Linked DNA regions of Medicago truncatula. The protein of the gene in region 2 binds, or shares a complex with, the protein of the main gene of each other region. Links are inferred from orthologs where the notes say so. Each region holds a gene or a part of one and is shown on either strand. Other genes may lie near its edges. The genes, in order: strigolactone esterase RMS3 and F-box protein MAX2.

The links.
Region 1: the proteins of F-box protein MAX2 (region 2) and strigolactone esterase RMS3 are in contact, whole or in part, in a cryo-EM structure (PDB 8IF6), measured with the Oryza sativa proteins. The link is inferred for Medicago truncatula from reciprocal best matches to the Arabidopsis thaliana genes MAX2 and AT3G03990. Residues at the interface, in NP_001411525.1 of Oryza sativa: Gly109, Gly110, Ser113, Ser115, Ser116, Ser118, Tyr596, Ala597, Leu598, Thr599, Pro601, Asp634, Asp636, Val637, His666, His668, Leu696, Met697, Thr699, Arg702; in NP_001404251.1 of Oryza sativa: Asn61, Arg63, Gly66, Ser67, Asp81, Ser83, Leu89, Arg97, Gly107, Ser108, Pro111, Ala135, Arg137, Pro211, Asp217, Pro219, Ala220, Val222, Gln223, Ser226, Arg227, Asn231.

What each region holds. Positions count from the first base shown.
Region 1 is NC_053042.1:5,249,199-5,258,885, reverse strand, and holds strigolactone esterase RMS3, read right to left. Parts: upstream 3,464-9,687; 5' UTR 3,379-3,463; coding exon 3,005-3,378; intron 2,916-3,004; coding exon 2,483-2,915; 3' UTR 2,142-2,482; downstream 1-2,141. UniProt on the Arabidopsis thaliana protein: Involved in strigolactone signaling pathway. Does not move long distances acropetally in the plant to regulate shoot branching and is rapidly degraded in the presence of strigolactones.
Region 2 is NC_053045.1:38,925,430-38,936,728, reverse strand, and holds F-box protein MAX2, read right to left. Parts: upstream 5,522-11,299; 5' UTR 5,295-5,521; coding exon 3,159-5,294; 3' UTR 2,901-3,158; downstream 1-2,900. Other genes in the region: serine/threonine-protein kinase EDR1, read left to right, coding at 79-98, 362-518, 1,129-1,417, 1,544-1,616, 1,907-1,989. UniProt on the Arabidopsis thaliana protein: Component of SCF(ASK-cullin-F-box) E3 ubiquitin ligase complexes, which may mediate the ubiquitination and subsequent proteasomal degradation of target proteins. Promotes the senescence. Is necessary for responses to strigolactones and karrikins.

The DNA.
Region 1 (9,687 bases), on a different chromosome or scaffold from region 2:
GGCATTATCTTTTCGAATTATATAGACATGTAGACTATAAAGGGGATTTGAACAAATAACTTTCGATTTTGGTCGGACTTTTTTTCCATATAAAATTGCAGTTGAAAACATATTTTTGGAAAAACGAAGTGGTAGAACAAGAACTTGTAGGATAATCCATGAAAAAAGAAAGAAAAAGAAGAGAAAAGGAAAATTATGATGAATGCGGAAGAACAATGTTCGCTGCCATATAGAGAATATTACAATATAGAGAAAGTGAATCAACATTGTATTGAATGATTACAAAGGGAAGGATTGCAAGTATATATACACAATGTGTGAAGGAAAAGTCTCTAACTAAATGTAACTATCCTAACCAATCATGACTAATTGTAACTATAGTTAGTTTATCAGTTAAGTCCAATCTAATGTATAAAACACAGATGACTTGTATAGCAAGTAACCATGTTAAGGCTTAGTATCTAATAGTTTCAATACTCAATTTGATTCTATATAAATTTTTGGATTCAATTTGATCCCCTTGAAAGCAAACTTAGTCGTGAAATCATTAGTTAGACACAACATAGCTAATTTTGATGATGCTCGTGACTAGGGCTGGAAATGAGTCGAGTCGAGTCGAACCTGTCTGAGCTCGATTCGACTCCATAAGAATTGGTTCGGCTCGAAACTCGACTCGAGTTTGAAACGAACCTTTTTTTTTACCTCAAGTTCGACTCATTTAAAGTTCGCGAACAACTCGGTTCGGCTCGTTAGGTTCAACTCGTCTACTCGATTTGTATACTTCAAAAGCTTTTTTTCTTCAAATATTTTTTTTTGTCAAAAATACATGTCTTTGACTTAAATATATATATATATATATTAAATAAAACTATGAAGGTAGAAAGGCAGTAGCACTTACTACTGTAGCGCATACCATGTTTTACATTGTACTCATTATCATCTACCTCTCTTATATATACACTCTTACTCTCTAATATTTTCAAAACACCCGATGTGGAACTATTTGTGTACAAATGTTTGTTTAAAAGTCTTCAAAAGATATTAACTTTTTTCCTCAATCATAACAATTATCGTTGATTATTAATCAAATTAGTAATAATTCCTATGAAAAAAGTACATAATTATTAGAAGAAGCTTGTAATAAATTAGATATTATATAACAATATGCAAAATAATATTTTATATATATCGAGCTGGTTCATGAACCAAACGAGTCGAACCATACTCAATTCAAGTTCGACTCATTTATTTAACGAACTTAATTTTCAACTCAAGTTCGACTCATTTGGTTCACGAACCAAGTTCAACGAGTCAATTATCGAATCGAATCTCAAACTATTTTCGAGTTGGTTCGATTCATTACCGGCCATACTCGTGACCAATTGACCTTGTCAATGTGTTGTTTGTAAAATAAAAGAGCAATTCATAGGAAATAATGATCAGGGTGCCACATTGAAACCTAAAATAAATTTGAGGAAAATCAAATTGACACGTATACTTAATCTTGTATGGACTATTTCTTTATGTTGATTTTAATGATATTCTTCCCGTACAACAATTAAGATTATTTTATTTGAAGGTTCATAACACATTTAAAGGTATATCAAACTATGAAATTCATTACTAGTGTTTTAGAGAATGAATCTATACAAATTTTTTTGTAAGGAATTCCAATTATTTACCTTATTAGCTTATCAATCTCTTGCCCATGCAGCTTTTTCAATTTAAAAAAGAGTTGATAGAAGATATGTTTTTAGATAGACTAATATGATTGATGATATGCAAGATGTGAATATGTAAGATTTTGATATGTGATCCTTAATTTTTGAATAAATCAAAATTTGTTTGGTCTAAAAAAGTACTTACATAAGTTTGAACAAAGCTAAAAACCATAAAACAAGTGGACCATTCATATTGTGGATTCTAGCAAGAAATCCAAAATGCAAAATATTATGACCAGATAAGCCATTGTCTTAAAACTTACCAAAAGTCAATCGTAGTACATAAGGTCGCATCAAATCAAATAATTGAAAATCACTAGATAAAATTTTGAAACACAAAGAATAAACCAGTAGAAAACAAAAGACCTTTATAACTAGTAACTACTAATCATCATCATTTAGTCAAAAAAAAAAAAAAAAACCAATAATCATCATGATAATAAACCATTATATAAAAGAAACAAGGCATTTCTCTTTTCTTTTTTTCTTTGTTTCCTTTTCTCATATCGCAAATTAAAAGTAAAAGAACCTAAAATGGGCACACATCACGTGACATCACGTGCAGATTCTTATCCTACATAAAAATCTCATAAAATCTATGAACCAAAACCCACACATTATTCGACACGTGTCCACATCGAACCTCTAGTACATGTCTTCTAGAGCTTTAGACCAGGACAACCTTGGTCCTTGGTCAGCATCCAATAGTTATAAACCCAAACCCATACCCACGCGCCCAACACAAGCTTAAACCCCACGCGCTAATGTGAAAGTGCTATCTCCAACTGATGAGCCAAGTAAGAAGGAGCGCTCAAATGAGGAAGATGCCCCTCCGTGTCCAGCCACTGCACCGTACTCTTCCCACCAAGATGCTCCTTCATGTAAGTCGCAACCGTCGCCGGAACCGACATGTCCCTCGCCGTTTGCATGATACAACAAGGTACCTTAACCAATCCTAAAATCCCTCTCAGATCACTGTTGAAGACCGTTCTTGAAACGAAAAGTGATATGTCTGGTCTCATGTTGAAAAGTGTTCTAGAAAATTCTCGAACCGCTGTAGGAACATCGGCCCCGACAGCTAGTGGAGCAAAACCGTTAACCCAGGCTTCATAGTTTGCTTCCATTGCTGAAAAAACTTGCTCAATTTCACCTTGCTCAAATCCTCCGTGGTAATTTTCTCCGTCGTTCAAGAATCTGAATAAACAAACATAAATAAATAAATAGTCATAATACGAGGGATATATGACAAACGTATTTAGAACTAGTTATGAGTGTTGTGTAACCTTGGGGAGGCACCGATGAGGATGAGTTTGGAGAAGAGTTCAGGGCGGCGAATGGAAGCTAACATTCCGATCATGGCGGAGATGGAGTGGCCGACGTAAGCACAGCGAGTGACATGGAGGGAATCAAGGATGTTGAGGAGGTCATCAACGTAAGCGTCAAGAGTTGTGTAGCGGCGGTAATCGAAGTAATCGGGGTTGACACTGCCGGCGCAAACGAGGTCATAGAGAATGACTTTATAGCTGCGGGTGAAGTAAGGGAGCACGCGCTGCCATGCTGATTGGTCGGTGCCGAAGCCGTGGGCGAAGACGATGTATTTGTCGCCGGAGCCTTCTACGCGGACATTCAGTGCGTCGAGGATGGAAGTGCTGCCCATGTTTGGACAAAAGAAATGTGTTGGATTTGGATATAAGAGTTGTGTGTTTTGGGATACGAGCCAAACTGAATATTTCTATCTCACTATGTTTTGAGTGGTATTTATAAGAAAAAATAAATGTTCTGTACACACTCGTTAAACCACTCTAGATTATATATGTGGGAGAAAAATAGATGTAATATTTTGACAATATGATTCATAATAAGAAAAGTGTAATGAAATTGAGTTAAGATCACGAAAAAAAATATATTAAAGAGTTTGATTTGGTCAACCAAATACGAGTTCATTAATCATTGACAACACTTAAATTCTCACTAATGGAACCCTTTTATTTCTTTGAGAAATGAAAAAGATTTTGATGCTAAAAATTTAGGAGTATCCACTAACATTGTTGTGTTGATAATTGTCAAGATTAGTATTACACACAATGATATAACTCCAAAAAAGGGATTTAAATTAGGGAAAACATCCGTGTATTGTTAAGATTAGGGCTACGACCATACAAGATCCGCACATACGATAGCACCCTCAATGGGTTTTCGAGCTATTTTACCTCAACGATACTATATAACAAGCTTCTTTCCTCAAGAAGCAAGGTATACACTATTTATGTTTATAAACTCTTCTAAATTTTCTAATAAATTTGAGCGTTAAATTGCTTATAAGTACACCGTCTCATTGAAGACTTCGAGTTGTCGTCCTCTACCGCACCCCATCACTTATATCCACTATTTCGGGGCCACCTTGAGTTACATTTTATAACCTAGAACCGATGGTCCAATGAGGCTATGATTACTCTCCAAATCTTTCCTAGGGATGTATTATTAATCAGTCAAAATAAAAGCCATAATATACCATTAAAAATAAATAAAACAACGGCTTACAAACCAAATTTCCTTTCTTAGTAAGTCATTTTTATGGTTTATTTTGTTTGAGATATGCCAAGTTGTATGTGTGTTGTGTTAAGAGGAACCTACTCGAGGGAGATATTTTCTTTGAAAAATTGTGCATGGTAAACTCGCTACTAATATGGACGGTAACCATCGTTAGATGACTTACGATCCTTGATCATTGTAGTTCTCATGATAAATCTATAATTAGCTTCTTGTGGGATTGTAAGAAAGTTATACTAATATAGATGTTGAAGTTATAAGGAGGTAATAGGTTCAACTATCTCACTAACAAGATATTAACTAACATATGTTAGTGAAAAGAAATTACCAATTCAGAGAATGCATCGCAACAACTAGGGTAGATAATGAAATCGAATTCCCTGTAATTAAGGGATTTCATATTCAGGTGGTCGGAATATCAATTGTCATTTGATTAAGATCAAACTATGAAAAATGTAAATTAAAATTGTTTTTTTTTTTTTTTTATAGAATGTAAATTAAAATTGTTATTTCATAATTTAATATATCAAATATGAATTCAACCTAATTGATTGAACGATTGTTGATGTTTCCGGATGTGCCGATGTCTCAACTGAGTTTGTCTCTACACAAAATTTTTAGAATTGTTTTTAATAGTAGTATAATTAATCAATAGTTGATATTTTAACCACAAGACCCACACTTATCACAAATTCTTTCACTCTTAGCCTACATCTATCATCATATGGAAAGCGGATTGTCTTCGGTGACTCGAGAGTGCAGTGGAATCACAACCACACATTTTTCACCACTTAATTTGGTCAAAATTCATTAAGTAGCCCTTGAATGGTGGAGATATACACTGGATTTCATCCGGTGAAAAATTCTCTCGAGAGAATCTCCATCCCATCGTATGTATCACAAATCCATTCTTGATAACATGAATATGTAGAATCCAATGCATAATTATAAATGAGTGATGTGTACACATGCGATCAATTTAGATATTAAAAAATGTATTTTTTTTCACTGTGGATGCTCTCAAAGCACTTGTTAAGAAGCTCAAAAAAAAAAAAAAAAATTTCTTTTGAGATTTGAGTGTTCAACGCATTGGATCTTTGAAAAAATTATACATTAAACTTATAAATTATTTCCTTAATGCACTTGTTAACAAGACTTTATAAATATTATCAAGAATCAAATGTGAAATCAAATGAGAGATGATTGATTAAATAATTGTTTAGTTATTTATATAAAGATATTTATATCTATAATGCTACAAATTTTCATATATGATACTTCACTGTTCAAAATTTCTGGATCCGACGACACGGGTCTCAAATGTGTGAATGGAGATAGTCGGGTCACACAATGGAGCGTGATTGTTGGAGCACTGGTACACAAACAAAAAGTGACGCTGATGATGACGAATAAGGAATGACAGTAGATGAACATGTATGGTTGTACATTCATCCAAGTTCAAGGCACTGGAAAAAAAACGAGTACATGTGTACCATTGCTAGTTAGCTTCAATTTTCACCAGTACATCATAATCCAACAATTGCTATCATTTGCTGTAGTTTGGTGTAGACGTGACAGAGATAGAATCTTTGCATGAATTGTTGTTTGATTAAAAATAGAAAGATGTAATGTAATAACATAGTGGAATCTGATTCATTGGAATTTGGAAGTAGCCTTCAAATATAAACCTCTTTCCCCTTCATTTACCTAGCTTTAAAAAATTAAAAATTAAATATACAAAATTCACACACAAAACAGGAAAATCAAAACGAATATGGAATTGACAAAGTCTGCACTTTTTTTTTGTCTATTCGTAAAATTTCATTGTCTCTCTCTGACAAAGATGTAGCAAGCTGCTTTCACCATCTCTAGTGTCTAGCAATATGCTTTTACTCGAAGCCACTAGTTAAATGCATATATAAAAGAACTTCACTTATCTTCAATGCTAATTTATGAAAATTTATTATATGCATGCATCACATGATGCTTTCCTTTTCTTCTTCTATTTTTTTATTTATTAAAGATGCTTTCCTTTTATTCGATAAACATATATATTGATACTAAATCCTAATGTGAAAGTTGATTGTCAAAAAAAGTTCCTAATGTGAAAGTCACGTACAACAATTAACTTTTTATTTTTGAAGAATAACAATATAATTAGCTTATTACCTCAAAAAAGTACAATTATCATATTGTTTCTTAAAAAAACAATTTATTATATGCTTTTTTTTTTTTAGCAAGCACAAGTTTTTTTAAGCTTTACCTATGACGCAAAATAGTATACAAAGTCCCAATTATATATGAAGTTTGATCAAGAAATAATTATTAAATTAAAATAGATAGATAACGAGATATTGGACCACAGAACAGGATTCAGATTAGTGGATATAAATATACTTCCGACCAGGTGGATAAACTAATTAACTTTACGAAGAAAAATCTATACGGGTCTAATTTTATATATAGCGCCTAAGTGTACAATTGATATGTGGTGATAAAAATTAAATTTAAATGAGTTGATTATTTAAAATTTATTTTGGCTAAAAGTTGGTTGAATTTAATTAAAGTGATTTATGTTTAAAATATATGGGTCATATTAACTTGTGCTCTTAGGGCACATGTTAAACATTAATTTCATTTCATAAATGGTAAGAATTTAATGAAAAAAAAATAAATATTAAACATTTTGAATAATAAATTAACACAATTTCCAATACATAATTTCTATTAGTAGAATTCTTAACATGTGTCACAAGGGTACAAGTTAACATTTTCCATAATGTTTATATTAACAAAAGGGAAATGTTAATCGGTGCCTTGGGGCACTAGTTAAGGAAGTAAATATAGTAGTTTTAATTGGAAGTTGCGCAGTCAACTCGTCAAAAGTTTAAAAAATATTATTTTTAACTTAAAACTTTATTGTTTTATCTTCCTTAACCAGTGTCCTAGAGACGTCGATAAATCTGATCCTTAACCAAAAAAAAGGTCAAGGACCTCAAAGTTCTACATAAAGCCAATAATTTTGCACCATAGATCATCAAAGAAATCAAAGATAAGAGAATGCAAACAAGGCTCATCCAAAAAGAAGTAGATAAGTTCTGAATATTGGGGCCCTTGCCCTAACTAGCATATTCATATTGTGACCCCAACGATAAGGAAAGACAATGTAGGTATTCCAATGTTCTATATATGGTGTTGGCACAAAGAAGTTCTATTGGGACAAACTTTCTTCCATGTTTAATTGTTCTGCTGACTCATATGTTTTCTTTTTCGTTTTCTAAACCTTGACTTTTTTCCCTATCTTTAAAAAGATAATGCTTTGTGTTTAGCCATCTTCTATCTATTATTCTTGACTAAATGGAAAGTTTAGAATGAGAGAGACGTGTAACTAATCCTCATTAATTAAATGCAATAACAAATTATCCACTATATTATTCTTGGGTACGTGGACAAAGAATTAAACACTACCTGAAACTTAGAAACGATGAAAAAATCCCACAAATGCAAAAATCTAAACTCTATTAATGTTGCTCTTTATTTTTGTCACTAAAGTTACTTTTCTCTTACAAAAAAAAACTATACCCTAGGGTTTAAGTGAGTTACATTTGAAAAGTCAAATAGATTTGACTCTTTAGTAAGTATGAAATCCGAATTTGACAGTGCAAAATCTAGAGGTTAATATTTAGTATTTTTTTGCTTTCACTATAGCGATTTAAATGTATTTTTTGTGATATGAAACAAATTTTTACTTTGTTGATGATTCTAACAATTTATACCTCAGAAGTATATGTGAAGATGGAAGAAGAAGCTCTCACTGTTTTTCTTGAGTGATTTATTCTCAGCACTGCAAGTGCAACCAATGATGGTGGGTTTGGGTACAAGAAGCTTGACAAAAAGGTGCTACCTGCCTTTGAAAGAGTGATGATAGGTAAACACTCATAGGTGGCATACCACTCCTTTACCACCCTTATGTGACATTTTTTTTTTTTTTTAAATTTCAGACCTCTTCTCTCCTCAAACCCCTCTTTCTGTTAATTGCTTTAAGTTACTGCAATTGAGCATTAATGAGGTTTATTAGCTTTCTTTGTAATCGACTCATACCATTAAAACAAACAATACCAAATTCAAAAACCAAAAAGAAATTTGAGACTATACAAGGAAGTAATGGATCATGTAGTTGCAACTGTTTGTATATTGATGAACATATGATTTGTCTCTTCTCCGAGCAACCCACTGCCTCCCTCCGCCTTATGGCCGCCGGATTTACCGTCTCCCTAGAAAACGTCAGATCTGAACCAAAAAAACTGATACAGTGCGGGAGAAAAGAAGATCACCGGCGATGTGACATTTCTGGATCTGAACAGCTTGAAAACAGGCGGCGGTGGTTATGAGGAAGAAGAGGCGGCGGTGTGGTTGCAACTTTGAAGAGAAGAGGTGGCGATTCTAGTGGTGTTAGGGTCGGAGAAAGGTGAGAAGATGACAGAGGGTTGGAGGCGCGAAGAATAGGGGTGGCGGTGGTGGTGAGTGGTGGTGTTAGTGATCTGTGGAGATGGAGAAATGAGAGAGAAGAGAGCGAAGGGAAAGACTTGTGTTTGTTTTTCTTGCATTGATAAAATAAATAATAAATAATAATAAAGGCCATTGTTGTTGTAAATCAAATTATAAGATGTCTAATGATGTTTGGAAAGCAACAATAATTGCTCGAGGTTGTTATTGTATATTTATTAGTTATCTATTTTTTTAAGTTTAAAGTAGATAGATATAAAAACAAGTAAATTATGAAATAGCTGTAATATATTTTACAATATACATAAAAGGATGTTTCATACATTTGCATGAGTATGTTCCATATGTATTAAATTCTGAAGAGAAAAGAAATGAGTGCAATGAGCTCTCAGTTTGTCTTCTCCGCTCAAAGTGATCTCAACCTGCAAACCACCAAAAAACCACCCGACCTCCATAAGCCTTCAACCCCTAAGCTTTCATTTCGTGATAAACTTTGAAGACCCTCCCAAGAAATCCAAATCCGTGAAAGAGAGGACATGATTGAAAAGAAACTTGTACGTATCGAGCTTGGGGATGGTAATCGCCTACTGCACAAAGTTTACTTGGAACCAAAAGTCTTTCAAGAACTCTGCACACCATGGAAAGATGCAATAGTTGTCAAGCTATTGGGAAAGAATCTCGGCTACAACACCATGAGAGACCGACTTCAAAAAATTTGGAGACTCCAAGGAGGGTTTGATATCATGGATAACAACAACGGTTTCTATATGGTGAAATTTGATCAAGCAGCTGATAAGGAAAAAGTCATTACTGGTGGTCCTTGGTTGATTTTTTATCACTGTCTCACAGTTTCACACGGTCCCCAAAATTCGCCTCTCCGGATGCAAAGGTAGATCGCATTGTGGTTTGG
Region 2 (11,299 bases):
TGTCAGTGATTTTTATGTTACATCCAACATTTACTGATTCCAGTCTCTTGTTTTTGTCTTCCGCTCCCTATCTTCCAGCCGACTCAGACATCCTAATGGTACTCTTCAACCTCTTAACTTGTTATTTATATAGTAATATGGCTTTTCACCAATTGTTATTGTGCATTACTTTTTCTAGAATGAAAATATATGCAAGGGAATCTAAAATTTTGTATCATCATTTTATCGAATTTTTGAAGTTATTAGTATGGTATTGTACATATACTGTCCTCCTAAGAGCATCTCATGTCCTGTATAAAAATAATATTTCATGCACCATATTTCCTTTGCGATCATCTATAAGGGATTTAATTTTATGCAGTCATCTTATTTCTTGGTGCATGCACAAAGCCTCCACGCTTGTCAATGGTGACAGAATATATGGAAATGGGATCTTTGTTCTACTTGATTCATGTGAGTGGTCAAAAGAAGAAGCTTAGTTGGCGAAGAAGACTAAAAATGTTGCGTGACATATGCAGGTAAGTGTTCTGGTTCTTTTTTTGAATGGTAAGTGTTAGTGATTAGTTGTTAGATTAGTTTTTTCTCCTTCGTCCGGGTTTGAGCCCAAGACCTCCAACTCCTTATCCCTTAGCTCAAACCAGTTGAGCTACCCAATCCCCCCAGTAAGTGTTCTGGTTATTCACACCCTTCAGAACCTTTCAGTTCTCCATTCTTTTCCAATATAAGTCATTTAAGCTTCATTGTCCATTTACATTCATGTCAGATATTGTTGTTGGTTCCGCAAATATTAATTATGCATATGATGGAAAATTATGTTCATCCAGCCTAAAGGAATACGAAACAGATCCTACCATAGTGAATAGAGCAAATAATCATAATTATCGAAGGGTTTTCCCCCAATGAAAGAGAAATGCAATTTACAGCTCATTAGAAGTTTTGAGTTTAATTAATTTACCATCGAATTATTATAAAGTGCCAGATTGTATTTTACTTCAGTCAAATTGTATCTCTGTTGGTCAAACTGTTCTGCAAGACTTGTAAATTTGGTGGATTATGTAATTTTGGTAGTTGATATTTGGTAAGATTGTACTTCATTGACATTTACAAAAACTCTTTGGTGGTGAGTAGGGGCTTGATGCATATACATCGAATGAAGATTATTCACCGTGATGTGAAAAGTGCAAATTGCCTTGTGGATAAGCATTGGACAGTGAAAGTCTGTGATTTTGGACTTTCAAGAATAATTACAGAGTCTCCCATGAGAGATTCTTCTTCAGCTGGAACACCAGAATGGATGGCTCCTGAACTGATTCGAAATGAGCCGTTCACTGAAAAATGTGATATCTTTAGCCTAGGTGTGATAATGTGGGAGCTCTGCAACTTGAGTAGGCCATGGGAAGGCGTACCTCCAGAGAGGGTATGTTTGTTAGATTTGTTACGATTTCTATTGCTGTCACAGTTCTATATTGGAAACATATTTGTTGAATTCTGGAGAATCAAAATAACAGTTTATGTTGGCTAATCTTTATTCTCTGCTGATTAGGTGGTTTATACTGTTGCTAATGAGGGTTCCAGATTGGAGATTCCTGAAGGCCCGCTAGGCAGACTGATTTCAGGTATCTGCAACTAATTCATAACTTCAATCAATACCCTTTTGTTTTAAAAAATAATTATATATTTTTTTTTTTTTGGGTCTTGTTAAGGAGTGCCCCTGGGGCACTCTTTAAGCATTCCAAATTAAGAAATGATTTATTAAAAAAGTCAAATAGTTCAATTTCCAAGGCGTTGAGTTGAATACACAACTTTTCATAAAAAGTTACTACTTTAGACCCTTAAAAAAAGCATTAAGCATGTTATAATTCAGACCCCATCTAGTTTAACTGGTTACTTGATTTTTCATGTGCAGAGTGTTGGGCAGAACCGAATGAGCGACCAAGTTGTGAGGAGATCCTATCTCGCTTGGTGGATATTGAGTACTCGATGTCTTGATGCAGCAATTACCTTTTGTACATAGTGAACTTTGGGTTGAGTTATCACATTGTATTTTCGGCTGATGTTGTAAACTTATATGAATTATATGTCCTGAAAACATGTTAAAATGTGCGTGCATTCGTGCATTTCTTGAATCGTCTCTTATGTGAAGCAATGTAAAGAGAAGGAAAAGAAGCAATGGCTTTTTTTTATCCATCTCTTTAATCACACAAAATATGGTTGACCTTTCATTTAATGGTTGAAAATTTTGAAAGAAGTAATTCATGACAGAATATTCAATATACTGAACAGTCGAATCCTACTGGCTTCCATTCTTTCAAACACATGCTTAATTTTAACCTATGAAGCTCGGTTGTACCTAAAATAGGTGTTCGGATCCTTTCCTTCACATTACACAGGAGGGATGAGAGAGAATAGAGAATTGAATGCTAAAAAAGCGATAAAAGAAGAGAGATAGAGAGGATGGAGAGAGTGAAGGAGAGGATCCGGCTCTCTAAAATAGTGATGCTCGGTGCTGGTACATGTATGGAACTAAACACATATATCCATTTTATCAGTAAGAATTCCAAAATATGTTGGGGTACATATTATAATTTAATCAACTGTGATAGAAATTCAGACAGTAATTTTTTGTTGTTTTTTACACTAAACGGACCTACCTTGGGTTTTAAAAAAATTCTGTATTTTCACATGCATAGCTATGCATCAGATTCTAACCTAAGATATAAGTTTAAATACAAAGAGCTCTTGCTAGAAGACTCAAAAAACAAATCGTATATAAGTTTCTCATAATAATCTACTTGTCAAAAAAAGTTTCTCATAATAATTTCAACTTTTTTTACCTTATAATTTAAGTTCTTTTTTTTTTTTTTGGTTACCTTGATAATTTAAGTTCTTGTGAGAGAAGATGCATGTAATCTCTCGCGCATATTTATTCCACGAAAATAACAAAATAGCCGAGGGTAGAATGGTTACATTTGAGACTCAAACAAAAATCCAACTGGAGTCCCACGATTTTACGGTGTCAAAAGAGGAAAGTGACAAATAATCTACCAAAGCCGTAATTGATGTTAATAATTGGCAATAACAATTAACAAGCCCTATAGCCTTAAGAACTATCCTCTTTTTTCTCTTGTTTATTGCATCCTAGCAAACATTACACTTGATCAGTCACATATTTGACGCCTATTCAACGCATCTTCAAAGCGAATGCATGATCCTACCCTCATCTCTGTACTCATGTCATTCTCTGGTGCTGGATAGTAATCCTCTCTCAGCTGAACATCTCTCAGATTTGGTATTTTGAGGAAGTAGTTCATGAAGTGTTCATGAGTTGTTCCATGAATGAAAAGCTTCCTCAAAGTATAGCATTCTTGCAACAGGCCAGCAGCTGGAAGAGACAGACTCCTCTGGTTCACATCCTCATCTTGTGGTGGCCAGTAATGAAGTTCATTTAGACTCAAGCTACCGATCCCATTAAGGAAGAACCTCTCCCACCAACTCAAATCCAATTGGCCGGAAGGCGCTGTGTATACATAACCTTTTGTATCGCCACAATCCAGCTGCATCTTTGACAACTGAGGATAACAAGCTAGAATGCTCAAACCAAATTCGCGCACTGCCGGTTTGGGCTGTCCTCTGCAATCTCCTTCGACTTTTATACGAATCTCTTCTAGATTGGGGCAATCCTCCAACCCTGCTACTGGCAACTGAGTCAAAAGTTCACCAACCTTTATCCAAAGAGAAAGATACTCCAACCTATCCCAGCTATAGCCATAGTATCCATTGCCGTTACCATTGCCATTGCTTTGCACAAACAAATCATCAGCCTCCAATCCATACTCACACCTTTGCCTCTTCCTCATGCTTGTGTCTTCTCCACATTCCTCACCTCCAAAGCAATCCATTAACTCTGAACCGTTCAGTTCATCCAAAGTGTTCAGATCAAAGTTGAACAAACCTTGTCCGAAGTTATCACTTTCTTTCCATATACAATCCAAGTGAAGCCGCTCAATCCGGTCCCGAATAGGCTCCAAAGCTCTAAGAGTAGCAGCCGCATCCAGGTTGACACATGAAGCAACCTTAACATCAATCAAAGTCCTTCGAAGCAAACACGCCATAGTCCTCAACCCTTTTTCAGTAACAAGCTTACAACCCTGAATCTCAAATCTCACCAACCGTGAACACCCTCTCCCAATCTCAATCAACCCCATATCATCAAGATCACCACACGTGTTAACAGACAACGATTGAAGCCCATGGCAAAGCGCAATTCCGTCAAGCCGTGACCCAATTGCCAAACAAATCCCCTGAAACTGACCCAACTTCACAACCTTCAAATTAGGACATTTAGAACTCAACATCTCCAAAGCAAAACTAGTCTCGGTGACATTTTTACAAACATCTAGCACCAATTCTTCCAGAAGAGGCAACCCAGTGAACAACGCTACAAGCGTGGCACGACTCACCCTAGCATCCTCTACACCTTCTTCCTCTCTCCGATTCGAAAACGACGACGTATCAGCCATGTGAAGAAGTTTCAGCTTAGGACAATTAGAAGCGACGGCCAATAAAGTTTCGTCACCGACAAAACCGATGTATCTCGGATCAAAAGTGCATGCAACAAGAAAGTGTTCCAGATTAGGGCAAGATGAAGTGATGGATTCGATTTGGTTAGACTTGAACCCCTCCGTGAACGACGTCGTTAAGAGATTCAAACGACGGAGTGAGGCGGCTGTGGTAGTATTCTCCGCCAAAACCGGTGGAAGATCCTCCGGCCAGTGATAGAACGATGAAAGATCAAGTGAAGTAATCGATCGGCACCGTGAGAACAAGGCGTCGAAGTCTGACCCCGGTTGCAACCCCTGCGGCCGTTGATGCCACCGAACAAGCCGAACATCACGAAGCTCCGGCCAGTGGTTGAAGAGAAGAAGGTGAAGCGTGTGCGGGTCACGCACGTAGACAGTGAGTGAAGTCACGCGCGGGAAAGTATTTCGTAACCGTTGAGCTAGAAGCGGAGAATCATTACCAGCAGGTGAACAGAACAGCGCGTGACCCCACGGCGAGAGAAGTGATACATCGAGATGAGTAACGTTCGTGAAGGAAGTTGGAATTCTGTATAAGTCACGCGCGTTTCCTCGGAGCGTGAGGGATAATCGCGTTTTTCTCTCTAACTTGAAGAAGCTATGACATACTAAGGAGAGTGAGTTTCGAGTTCGTGTGTCAGTTATTCCGGTGAAGACTTTCGATAAAATCTCCTCCGGTAGGTGGCTGACGGTGGTTGCTGAGTTGTTTCCTACCATCACCGGTAAGAAATTCTCACGAAAATAACTACTTTCTTCTTTTTAGGAATATGTATGAAGGAAATTTATAGAGGTAAGGTGATTGGGGTATTGAGTATCAATCAATGAAATCTAGTGAGTGATATTTGTGGCAGTTTCTGAGATGTTATAAAGAGTAATGTTTTTATTACATTTTTATTTTATTTTATTGTATTGTGTATGGTAGAGGATGATATCATATGCTTGATTGATAATGGGTATTGATGGGTATGGTATGGCTATTATTAGTCATAAGATTGAAAACACTTTGTTGGTTGGGTGATGCATAGCCACGTGAATACGATGTATGTAGCTCACTAAATTTTAAAGGGTTTTACTAACCATGTCTCTTTGAGTATTTGTTAAAAAATTTATAAATAGAAATTTTATCTTAAAAATATAATTTTTTTTTATTAAATAACAATTGTATAAATTTTTAAGGAAATTTATATATTTTGATTGCTTAAACAATATTTACAAGACATTTTTTAATATTCTCTTATTTTAAAATCGTGTGATCTGGATCCGCTATCTTTAAAAGATGTACGTCTTTTCCTCATCTTATTTATCATTTTTGTTTATTTTTTCTTATCATACATTAAAGTCATGATGATTTTTTCACCATTAAGTTTGTGTTTGATATTACACCGATAACTTTTGTAAAATCACAGTTTGACATATCCACGATGATATCAAACATCGATTAAGAGTAACTAAGATCCAAAATTGTGTGTGTGAGAGATGGTTTGAAAATGAGGGATGGTTTGGATTTCTGTAAAAGGCAACAAGCCAGCAGTGGGAAATGGGGTAATGGTACAAAATGAAATCTGCATGTACATTATTATTAAGATTTAAGATAAGGGAAAAAAGAATAGGGACAAACAATTGGGGGACCACAAACAGGACCCAGTTAATCCCTTATGAGATAAAGAAAGAGGGTTAAATCACTCAGAGTCACATTGTTGGATTGAATTTTGTTTACTTCTTTTCTTGTTTCGTATCTTGTTCATTTTTTCTTTCTTTCTATCTACTTACTTTGTCAAGCTCTGTCTTTTCCATTTTGATTGGATTTGGATAGGAACACAAAACACAATAGTGCAACATACACTTGGCGTTAATATCTCTATTGGATATTGATGATATTTTTAAAACTGGCGTTGAAATAATAATAATGGAGTATATGTATAATAATATAATATGTGAGTCAGTGAGTGACCGACGAGGGACCCAACGTTAACCTTCCTTTCGAGCTTCCAATCTAATTTAGTCCAATCAATCCACGTTAAATAACAAAGTTTACATTGACACATGAGATTCAATACTATATAAGTTTTTTCTTTTTTTATTTCTAAAATTTATCTCTCTTTCACAAAAGACCAACAAATGATATTAATAAATAGAGTAGTGATATTTGAACAACTATTTCATACAATTTTTTGTGATAATTTTTTTTCTCTCTTTTTATTGGTTAAAAACTATGGAGAGAAAAAGAAAGAGAGAAAATAAGAGGATAATGTGAGTATGAAAGAAAAAGTTGTCATAAAGTGGTTGTACAAATATCATTTCTCTAATAAATACTTATTATCCAAGATACAAAGTGTATCATTCATGGATTCTTAAGTTTTTATATTTGCTCTAGCCCATAGTACAAAACTGATTTGTGAGATGATGGTTATCCATATTTAGAAACACTTGTTTATGTCATTTTTCATCAAATATGATAGTATTTAACACAGCCTATCGCATCCAATACTATTAGACTTGATGCATAGATATAAATGGTAGGTGGTTCGATCAAGACAGATCTTGGAAAAGGTTTTAATATCACCTTAGATTTTTATACTAGAGATAATTCATTCTCCTAAAATCAATTTGTGAGGTAAAATTCGCTTTCACTTATAAACAATTGTTCATGTTATCTCTCATCCAACGACTCTTTAACATGAATAAAACAATTACAACTCACTAAATATACAATCAAAATCAAACCTCAAGAAAAAACAAACAAATACCATCCCATACAAAACAAAATCCTCAAAAGAGTACATAAGTTATTATTGATGATGTGTGAGTTAGGATGGGGGATGGGGGATGAGGGGCAAGCGTGAAGTTGGAGGAGGGGGGCTGTTTGCGTGGGAAGAAGAGTTGGTGGAGGAATTTAAATTATTATTTCACGGTGTGACTTTGCAGGTTGATAAAGTTGATAGGTGGCTATGGAATTTGGAAACATCTCATGTCTATTTCGTCCGTAGTGCTTATAATTTGCTCACTTTTCAACCTCCGTTTGTTTCTATGGTGGCGGTGTCCTCTCTTTGGAATAAAGATGTCCCTTTGAAGGTCGTTTTGTTTGCTTGGCGTATGTTTCGTGATAGGTTGCCAACTAAGGATAACCTTCTTCGTTGTGGAGTGATTCCTAATGATTCCTGGATGTGTGTTGCTGGCTGTGGGTCCGAAGAGACTTCAGCACATTTATTTTTACATTGTAATATATTTGGTTCGATTTGGCACTATATCTCCAGGTGGTTGGGTTTGTCGACGGTAATTCCCTTCACTGTTGATGGCGGTGTCACAAAGGCACGACGATCAATTTTACAGGTTCTTTGGTATGCAACTACGTGGAAAATTTGGAAAGAAAGAAATAACATGCTCTTTAATGGCAAAGAGTGCTCAATTATGCAGGTGGTTGATAAAATTAAGTCGCTGACTTTCATGTGGCTGAAGGCGAAATTTCCTTCTCTTCCCTTCAACTATCATGGCTGGTGGCTTAGTCATTTCACTATTTTTGGCATAGGCTAATAGTTATTTGCTTTCTTTAGTCACTGTTTTGGTTTTCCCTTGTAAATATTTGTTTTGACTTTGGTGTCTTTTCCTTGGCATATCTTATGTTAGGGAGGACCTTTTGATGTGGTAATATATTTCATTGTAGCCTCTTAAAAAAAAAAACCTGAAGCCAATGATCACACACATAAAAGGATATCTCCATTTTCGATGAAATTCAAACGTGAATTCTTTGACTTGGATTTTGAACCACCCTTAAGAACACGATTTAATAGTTGTTGAATTAGAACTATAGAAGTAATAAAAAATTATCAATTACTATTACCATGGAAATAAAAATGCAAATGAATCAATTAAAAGTTATAAAATAGAAATAAGATTTCATTTTTGGTTGAAAATACATAATATGATTTCATAAGTGGATCATCGATTGCCTAAAAGTGTCGCATCCTTTTTTGCTCTAGTTCATTCAAATTTAGTTGAAACCGCAAGAACCCTTTTACTTCATCACAATGTTCCTTTTCAATTGCCTAAAAATGTTGCGTCATTTTTTGCTCTAGTTCATTCAGATATTTAGTTGAAACTGCAAAATCCTTCTACTTCATCACTGTTCCTTTTTGTTTGTTGGATGAAGATTGCTCCTACTTATAAACATATATTTAAGTCATATTTTATTTGATGTGAGACTCATTAACAACAATCATTGCATCACAAAGGTTCATGGTCTTATACAAGTTAGCATCCACCCCTCAATAATATAATTTTATGTCACCAAAGCATATTTAAGAACAAAACTAGTCTTTTTGAATAGCATCATATGGAATTTAGGGACATGTCTTAAGTTATATATAAAATTAAGTATGTGAATATTTAGTTTTTGTAAATTATAAGTTTGTGGTTTCCTAAAAAAAAATAAAAATTTGCGGCTGAATTAAGCATCGTTGATGGAAACATACCATCGAGTTGTTTTGTCTAGTTTTGAATGTAGCAGTTTGTAACCAAATATATGGTTGGTGTTGGTTGTTGAATGAATTTATTATATAACAAGGTAATAGCTTGGTTAACGTTGATATATGGGTGGGGTGGATTAAGGATTGGAAGCAACTTTATTTGCCACCCCTGGCCCTACAAGAAAACAGTGTTTAAAGTCGGCCAAAAACCCACTTTAACCAGGCAAAAACTGACGCTAACAATGAATTCACGTCGGATTAGTGTCGGTGTCGGGGGCAGGCAAAAAAATTAGAATCCATTTTTCAACATATATGATTTATTAATTCTAAAGTAAAATTTAGAAGTTAAGATCACATAAGTATTAGTTATAGAGTTAATTTTTTTTTTTGGTACAAGAGAGGGCCGAAGCCCAAAAGAGAAAATTAAACAATTACACGAACATTTCTAGGCATACAAGCACCAGAGATGTCATCAAAGAGGAGACTATTGAGCTCACTAGGAGGGGTCTCCAAAATAGTAAAATTCCATGAATCCATGGTAAGGCTGAAGTTAGCAAGCCAATCAACACTTCTGTTGCCTTCTCTCAAAGTGTTATAGAGTTAATTTTATACTTTGAAAGAATGAATCTTCGAGTTTACTTTTTATGAACTTATTCCATAAGATGTTTACTATCAATTTAAATTGACAAAAAATACTTATTAAATATTTTTTTAAAATTCAGAAAATGAGATCTCAGTCGATTTTTTTGAGAAAACAATCTCACAACTTTTTCTTGTTGAGAAAAAAAATATATCTATCAATTTAAATTGAGAAAACAAATATCACAAATTTAAAAATCTCACAATTTAAAAATCCCATAATAAGAATCTTGTGTTGTAATATTAAAACCTCCACTCCTATAAAATGACAGGTCTTGAATCCGAGAGAATCCGGGTTCGAGCCTCACTAGTGCCTTTGAAGGGAGGTAAATGTAAATACCTTTGTAAGTGCTCTTTGAGCTCGAAGGTCTTCCCTACCTTAGACTGGGGCACCATCCCCTCACCCTAAAATTTTGTAACCCAAAAAAAAAAAAAAACCTCCACCGCTATTTATGTTGAGCTTTGAGGTCTCTTTAATATGGTCTTAAAACCTTTTGGGATCAGGGTATTATTTCCCTTCTTGTGGAATGTGATTCTTGGGTCTTTATACAAATTGTTCAACTCACTTCATCTCACACCGCGGCTCTTCAAATCCATATATTCGACATTCTTTTTCTTGTCTATCTTATGGATTGAAAGGTCTCATTGAAGCATATTTATAGGGAGCTAACTCTTGCGTTGATTTTCTTGCTAACTTGGGTCACCGTGGTTCTTTCTAATGGAGGACCTCTTCAATCTTTTGTCCTTCTTTGGCTCTTAAGCTTCGTTTTGATTGAGTGAGATGTCGAGTCCCTAGGTTAGTTCCTTAGGGGGTCTTTGTTTCAAGTTTACAAAATATAATCATGGGAATAATTTTCTTGTGAATATAAGGATGAGAACTGTATTTTCAGGTTTACTGAGAAAATGTGTTTGGTTAGTATTTAAAGTATTCATGGGAATGACTGATAAAGCGATAGTTCTGGATAGTAATTAATGATTTTATTCCCAGCTTCATGAAAACTTTATTCCTCCCAATTTTCTTAGGAACAAGACAACATTTTCAAGAAACTTCTATTCCCAGGAAGGAATAATTATAAAAATTAAAAACAAACATAGGAATATTTCTTTCCACTATCATATTCTCAGGAATCTCCAAATATAACTTGAAACAAACATCATCTTTTATAATTTTCTTCTATCATAAAAAAAAGATATACTATAAAAAATGTAATAAATATATCTAATAATGTGAAAAATTATATATATTTTTATAACAAAGAGGGCTGAAGCCCGAAATTTTTTTTATATTTAGGGACAAGCAAAATTGCAAAAACAATATTATGATTATGGACGAAGTAATTAATATTAAATTAGAGGTTAAAGATATTTTCTTCCTTTGCTATATGAGCGAGTTCCAATTTATAAAATATTAGATTTTTTAAACATGAAATGCATTAAATATGAATTTTTATAAACAAAAAAAATTCAAGATAAAAGTAATGAAAGTCAGGATCTAGAAATCATTTTTCGTGAAGAAACAATTTTTAAACATGTTTGAAAAAAATTATTCAAAAATTTAAGAGCAATTAAACAAATTTAAATTTAATGAAGACTAAAATTGTGTGTTGAAATTTTTCATAG